Linked DNA regions of Callithrix jacchus. The main gene of each other region encodes a partner of the protein of the gene in region 2 in a complex. Links are inferred from orthologs where the notes say so. Each region holds a gene or a part of one and is shown on either strand. Other genes may lie near its edges. The genes, in order: WTAP and ZC3H13.

Region 1 (3,821 bases), on a different chromosome or scaffold from region 2:
GACTCCATCAATGAGTCCAACTTTTAGTGATAAAAAACTACTGTACTGGGCAAACTTGGCAGTCATAAACCCACATCTATTCTAACAAGTCTGAATGGTGCATTAAGTACAGTAACAGCATGAGTAAGAATGCCCTTACACAGCACAGATTCTAAACAGACACAGATTTATACAGACGTCATTGTGTTATAGTTTAAGGAAAAATTGCCATTTACAATTTCACATTAACTCATATAAAAATAACTTGACCCTACACAAAATGTCCTTTTAGCAACATTCAAAGTAATTAACTGTTACAATTTCCAAAGTGGCAGAGGTATTGAAGCAAAACAAACAAACAAAAAAAACCCAAAGAGAAACCAAACAAAAAGAACCAAAACGTACACCCAAGAAAAGGCAAATTGTGACAAAAGTATATGCATTAATTTTCTGGACAGTATCCTCTCCCAAATTAAATGACACTGTATAAAAATTTGCTGAAAAAATATTACAAAACTGAACCCTGGACATTTACACTTGAGTCCAAGCCATTCTGAACGTGGCGGGAACCCACAGTTCGGTTACCTTTCCCACTCACTGCTTTCTCCTCTTGAGGGTCATGATTGGAGTCTGTGTCATTTGATTGGTGTGTGAGAGAGTTTTCACTGCCCGTGGGAGAGTCTACACTTTCATACCCCGCACTGAGTTGATTTACGTAACCACTACCTCCTCTGCCAGTTCTTTCCTCTGAGCTGTTGGAGGCCTTATTACCATTCCCTGGAGAAGAAGGAAAGTCATCTTCAGTTGTGTTCCCCTCCCTGTGAAATCCAGACCCAGACGTCCTCTGGCGGGAGGAGCTACCATTACTTGGTCCGTTTGTCAGACGACTGCAGTCTTTACTTGTGGCCTCTGACTGTTCTACAGGTTCAGAAGCTGTAGTCCTGCTGGTACTTGGGGCAGAGGCCTGAGACTGCTGCTGGTACTGAGCCAACTGCTGGCGTGTCTCCTTCAGTTGCTGCTGTAGAACTAGAATGGTACTCTGCATACCCTCTACTTCTTCATCAAGCTGGATGATGAAATCATTCAGTTCTGTGCAAAGGAGAGTCAAATCAACTTTAATATCTCTTATAACACTGAAAAATGTTTCTTCAGTGCCTGCCACAAAGCAAGGCAGTCAATAAAATGCTTGCTAAGTAAACAAACACAATACTAAAAGCACACTACATTTATAAATTTTGCTTGGAATCTTAAAGTATGTTTACTTTGGGGGAAGTCAGATACTTAATATACAGTTGGCCATCCACATTCACAGGTCCTGCATCTGTGAAATCAACCAACTGTAGAAGGAAAATATTTGAGGAAAAAACTGGGTCTGTACTGAACATGTACAGCTTTTTTTTCTTGTCATTATCACCCAAACAATATAGTAGAATAACTACTTACATAGCAGTGACACTGTATTAGGTACTGTTAAGTAATCTAGAGATGGCTTAAATGGCTTAAACAGGTTTCTTTTCGTGTTTTTCTTTCTTGAGATGGAGTTTCGCTTTTGTTACCCAGGCTGGAGTGCAATGGCGCATTCTCGGCTCACTGCAACCTCCGCCTCCTAGGTTCAGGCAATTCTCCTGCCTCAGTCTCCCGAGTAGCTGGGATTACAGGCATGCGCCACCATGCCCAGCTAATTTTTTGTATTTTTAGTAGAGATGAGGTTTCACCATTGAGGTTAACCAGGATGGTCTCAATCTTTTGACCTGGTGATCCACCCGCCTCAGCTTCCCAAAGTGCTGGGATTACAGGCGTGAGCCACCGCGCCCGGCCCTCGTGTTTTTAATTTTTTTTTTTTTTTGAGACGGGAGCCTCACTCTGTCACTCAGGCTAGAGAGCAGTGGCACAGTCTTGGCTCACTGCAACTTTCGCCTCCTAGGTACAAGTGATTCTCCTGCCTCAGCCTCCGAAGTAGCTGGGACTACAGATGTTTGCCACCACACCTGGCTAATTTTTTTGTTATTTTTAGTAGAGATGGGGTTTCACCATGTTGGCCATGGTTTGAGAAGGCAAGTCTCAAACTTCTAACCTTGTGATCTACCCGTCTTAGCTGGGATTACAGGCATGAGCCACCACGTCCAGCCCAATGTACATAGGTTTAAATGTAAATATGACATGGTTTTATATGAGGGGCTTATCTGTTGGAGGTCTTGACACCGATCCACCATGGATACCGAGGGACGACTTTATTAAGCAACCAAGTTAAAATGGTTTTGATCCATTTTGCCATACACCTGATTATAGCCCCTAAAGTTTGATTTACATTTACCTATGGGCCAACTATGGCCAGTCCCCTTATTGCTGACCCTCCTAGCCAGTGTCTTAGTTCCATAGCAGGTCTGGCTCTTAAGGACAGTGTGGTCTGCTATTAATACTCCAAAGAGGCCCATGTTCTCAACTAAGGACTGTTATACATATAAGGACAAGTCACAGGAAATAATTCCTGATGATTTTGAAATAATAAGTAGTTTAGAAGAAATTACTTGACTGCTAATCATCCTTGCAATTAACCATCAGAGACACTAATTTTCAATTTAAAATTTCAAAGATTTAGATATTTTCCTTATTAATAATGCACCTTACAAAGAGGAGAAACAGGACAGATGCGCTACACTTGAACTAAAAAGGATGGAGGCTGACAAGTTTTGTTTATCTCAGTAAATTTAAAGAGTAAATCACTTATTCACTAACAAAACCATCACAGGTGCAATCAACTATATTACTTTCAGATTGCTGAAAACTTGCCGAATTTTTCTAAGATTTACACTTAACTAGAAATGGTTAAAGATATTTTTCCCTTTCAAACACCAAATACAAATTTGCCCATCTTGTTAAGTAATATAACAACCTTACCAAATCCTACCCCCACTAAAAACAAAAACATAAAAAGTTTTGAACGATAAAGAATGAGGAGGTTGGGGAAAAACACATTAAAATTATGTGGCTTTGTCTGCTGACTCAACTAAAAATGTTTCATTCACAATAATATACAATCATAGGCAGAGGTTAACAATGTACAGAATCTAACCTGTAATGTTCATGACTGGCAGTTTTAAAGCCAGTGCAAGGTTAAGAGAACTTTTCAAAGAAACCCCTTACCATCCTGACTGCTTTTAAGCTCCTCACTATATTTCTTCTGTAAAGCCAACTCTGCTTCAAGTTGTGCAATACGTCCCTGGGACAGCTGCCTTCCAAGCTCTTGATTCTCCTGGATAAGCATTCGACACTTCGCCATTAACTTTTTCCCTGTTTGGCTGCAAAGGAAAGAGCCATCTATCACAAAATGAAGACAAAACTCTCTATAACCTTCTTTGCTTACAATTATTACAGTGATAGATGTAACACATAACGTATCACAGCAGATGCTTCCCCATAATTACCATCTTCTTTTCTGGGACACATCCATCTTCTGCATTTCAGTATTTTGCCAATACAGCAGCAAAAATAAACACTAAACAAAAAGGGTCCAAACAGCTACACCTTGTTTCTCTTATATCAATAATTCTAAAACCCACCTATTTTCATCTCAAATTATCACTTGAAATGGAAACAGAGCCAGTTAATTAACATATGCCTTGGCTACACCAATATTATTATACTGAAGTATCTAGTGCTTTATCAAAAGTTCTTGAAAAGGTACATGCAACATCAATCACAAATGCTTCTCTATAATCTAATCTATGGAAATCAGTATCCACAAATAAAAATGAATGAGAGTATATTTATTCTTGCTAGAAAAACATTTAATAAAGATTTTCCTTAATAGGAAGTCCTCCAGTGTGGGCAACATAGTGAGA
Region 2 (4,069 bases):
CCTTTAACTGCCACTAGCAAACCATTTACAGACTGGAAGACTGTTTACAGGAATCCTAGTTTAACGGAAAGTTTAATCACGGTCCAAGAGCTTTTATAAAAAATGCAATTAAAATTTTTGCTTTAGAAAAATTCTATAGGTATATATCACTAATCCTGAGAATGGCTGAATTAGAAGAAACTGAGACTTCACAGTACATTTCCACTGGAATCATAAAGCTCTGAACGCTGTGACTGAGAGACCAAAGGAACAGTTCTACATTTTCTTTTGCAACATAACAAAGATTTCAAACTGAAAGACAACAGGTTTCACTGAATGACTTAACTACACAGTTTTCATTCTATAAATAAATAACTTGTGAAATATCCCCGAAGTCAGTGGACAAATGGAAAAACCATTATTTTTGTCATATTCCACAATTCTGAGAACTAGGATTAGAAATTTTAGGACTTTAAATCTTTGTGCTACAGAGAACAATATTATCCACTAAAATCAGGGAGTGGCTTCCTAAAGTGTATTCATTCTCCGAGGTCATTTTTTTTTCTTTTTTCTTTATTCAAAACACTCAGTAAAGGAAAAGGACATAAAGAAATTCTGATTAATTTTTTCTCCTGCTCTGTTTACAAGTATACATGCTTTCAAAGTCATTTGAAGATGAGACCCTTTTCCTTGGTGGGTAAGTATCTTGTATAAATTGACTGCATAACATACAGAAACTTTACACCACTGTCATTATGTTACCTATAGAGACAAAACTGCTAACACAAATAATGTAGGCTTACAATTATAACAAAAACCTGTGAGAGGGCATGATAAATTTGAATTTTGATTGGCTTCTTTTATTATTATCACTACTACTGTCTGCCCACAATTTCTGTGGCCAGAGTCCATTTCAAATCCTTCTAAGAGTCCACTTCATGAGTTAAACATATACATACAGAACAAATTACACACTGTAATTTTTAAAAGTAAATCTGCTTTACATAGTACAGCTGGAGGCAGTTTAATATAATCAAAAATTATAGCTCTAACAAATATGATAGTAGACTATTAAACCTCAGGTTACGTTAGATTTCTTAACTCTCGGTTTGCTTTGAGTATTTTTTTTTCTTCAAAAGCCACATTCTAACAAGATGCCTTAAGTATTAATGAGCTATATTTGAAGTACATCAACTCTGTTTAAAGTAATCCAACAATAAGGACACAAGCAGTAAAACATCTGAAGTATGAAACTGTAATGTTGGTCACTAATGTTTGAGAACATCAGGAACAAGATTAATGAAGAGCAAAGTAAAATCTAAAACAAGGAAAGGGAAGTTACGTTTATTAAAAATAAAAATAGTACACACTCTCTGACAACAAAAAAAGCATTTAGAGTCAAAAGACATCTAACATACATTGTAACAATGCACACATATTAATGTTTTTAAAAAAAAAGACCCATGAAATAATTTTTAAAAGACTTTCAAAGGGAAAAAACTATTTTGGCTCCTTTCTGCTAGAGATTCCCCTAGAAACACACCAGGCTAGCTGTACCAGCATTCCCTTTCCCACGGTCTGCACAGCGCGGTGTTGCACCATGTGAGCAACTCCTTTGATGAACACATTGTTTTTGAATAAAATTGTTGCTTCTGTATGGATGATCCAGCATAAATCACCGGTTCAATTTCACAAAAATATTCGTAGGCTGGAAGAGCAGTGACAACCGTTTTCCAAAATCTTCAGTTTTAACAAAAGGCGCAGAATAAACTATTAAATCTAGATGTTTTCACATTATTTTGCATGAGTGTCAAGGACTATGTAAAAATTAATGTAAAATCTCAAGTTAGCCAAAACCAGTGTCTCTAAAGATCAAAATTCTTCACTCTTTTAGCGCGGCTGATAAATCTTTTCTGCCTGTGTCACTAATGATGCTTGTCGAACCAAATAACTTTGCCGACGGAAGACAGTAACAGAAATACCATACTGAGCTTCAGTCTTAAGACACACACAGTTCCTGCTGGATACTGGACTGTGAGAGTTTGTTATCTTCAGTCTTTTCATGTCCTGGGGCATGGCAAGTAGTCTTCCGCTTAAATACCCGAAGACTCAGTCGTAATAACTCATTGTCTACCACTGGAGCATTCGTGTATGCTTGTTTTACTGTGCCCTATTTAAGAAACAAAAACACATTTTTTTAAAAAGATGTACATGATTAGTTGACAGTAGGAAAGATGGGCAGGTTAACCTCTACCCAAAATATCAAAGCTATAAGAGTATTTAATTTTGGATATTAAATTAGCTTTATTGGATTTCAAAGCAAAATCAGAAAATGTATTTGGGCTCAATGACTCTTTGAAAATAAACTTTTAGAGGGCACCTAGTCTGACCTCTGGCTTAATGTAGGAATCCTCTCAACAATTTCTGACAGGTAATCAACCAGTTTCTAGTTCATCATTTCCAATTTCAAAACAAACAAAAAACACACTGCACATTCCACTGTTGAATGGCAGTATTTCTTCCATGTGCTGAAATAAAGGCTCTTCTACGGAGCTACGCTGTAAGTCGATCTGACTTTTACTTGACAACCCTTTGGTTCTGCAAAGACAAGTGCCATGACTTCCTTCCTCACATGGTTTTTCCTTCTGTAAGCCAAACGTTCTATGATCCTTACCAATCTGTTAATGTCCCATAAAAAGTGAGCTCGAGAATTGAATAAATCCTTTAGAAGACAGCTAATCATGCAGTATACTGAAGAACTACTACCCCCTTATACTAAAATGTGTAACTATATTATTGTGACTTAAAGTTACATTAGCATTTTTTGGAAAGTTATTGTCCTGAAGGATGGACCAGGGAATGGTACAAAATAAAAAACAAAGAAAAGCACATATTGAAATGGGGGGGGCGGGCAAAGGAGAATGACTGTAGTAATTCTGTCAAAAATAACCTTGAGCCAGACTTTAAGTGAGGAAAACTTGATCATACAGTTCAGATGTGTTTAAATAGTCTCCTATTCCTTGTATTTGTTTCCATTTTAATGTTTGGAGATAAACTCATTCTCCTCTTTCGAAAAATTTAATTCCCACCCCCACCACCCCCGGCCCTAAATCTGAGTGTTTTTCTTTAATGAAGTTACCTTTTCTTTAGCAATGTTATATAGTCAAAGATTTCTGTTTTCCTAATTGCCCCCCAGGTAAAAAGCTAGTGAAGTTATCCATTGGATCATTACTCTAAACTTGCTAAGCAAAGAATCCCACCAGCTCTTTTTTTGTCATACAGGTTGAGTACTCCTTACTCTAAACTTTCATTACTCTAAACTTGCTAAGCAAAGAATCCCACCAGCTCTTTTTTTGTCATACAGGTTGAGTACTCCTTACTCTAAACTTTCATTACTCTAAACTTGCTAAGCAAAGAATCCCACCAGCTCTTTTTTTTATCATACAGGTTGAGTACTCCTTAACTGCAATGCTTTGGATCAGAAACAGGAATGTTTCCGATTTTGAAATTTTGTTGGATTCTGGAATATTTGCATTACATTTACGTATCCAGTTGAGTGTCCCTATCTGAGAATCCAAAATCTAAGTGCTTCAAAGAGCATGGTCCTTTGAGGGTCATGTCGACGCTCAGAAAGTTTCGGATCAGGGATACTCCATCTGTACTGCCTGTACCCACCCACCACCCCAAATACATCCTAGTTTCTTAACTTTAAAAAGTCTAAAACGTTTTCATCTTGGGTTTACCAGATCTCATTAACAGATTTCTTCCAAATCTAATTTCTTATTTCTCAATGTCTTTATTCTTCTCAAATGCTTATATATAATCGCTTTTATTTCCCTTTCTTCCAACTTTGTACATTCTCATAAATACTTCCATAAATATCGACAACACTCAAAGAAATTTTTTTCCTTAAGTTTCAATTTAAATACATTTTTGTAATGTTTGCTTGTTGAAAGAAGCTTTTCACAAATAAAAAACATTTAACAGAAACAGAATATTTTAAACTTTCATTATTAACACCAATATTCATTAATACTATTGAAGAATAAAGCATATTATAAATTTTAATGGCATTCTTCCTTTAACATGT

What was found.
Region 1: the proteins of ZC3H13 (region 2) and WTAP are in contact, whole or in part, in a cryo-EM structure (PDB 7VF2), measured with the Homo sapiens proteins. The link is inferred for Callithrix jacchus from reciprocal best matches to the Homo sapiens genes ZC3H13 and WTAP. Residues at the interface, in NP_001317494.1 of Homo sapiens: Arg1512, Pro1514, Gly1515, Ala1516, Ala1517, Leu1518, Lys1520, Phe1521; in NP_001257460.1 of Homo sapiens: Asp202, Glu203, Asp206, Phe207, Gln210.

Annotation. Positions count from the first base shown.
Region 1 is NC_133505.1:166,551,845-166,555,665, reverse strand, and holds part of WTAP (pre-mRNA-splicing regulator WTAP), read right to left. Parts: intron 3,279-3,821; coding exon 3,124-3,278; intron 1,069-3,123; coding exon 488-1,068; 3' UTR 1-487. UniProt on the Homo sapiens protein: Associated component of the WMM complex, a complex that mediates N6-methyladenosine (m6A) methylation of RNAs, a modification that plays a role in the efficiency of mRNA splicing and RNA processing.
Region 2 is NC_133506.1:165,159,777-165,163,845, forward strand, and holds the end of ZC3H13 (zinc finger CCCH domain-containing protein 13), read right to left. Parts: intron 2,150-4,069; coding exon 1,979-2,149; 3' UTR 814-1,978; downstream 1-813. UniProt on the Homo sapiens protein: Associated component of the WMM complex, a complex that mediates N6-methyladenosine (m6A) methylation of RNAs, a modification that plays a role in the efficiency of mRNA splicing and RNA processing.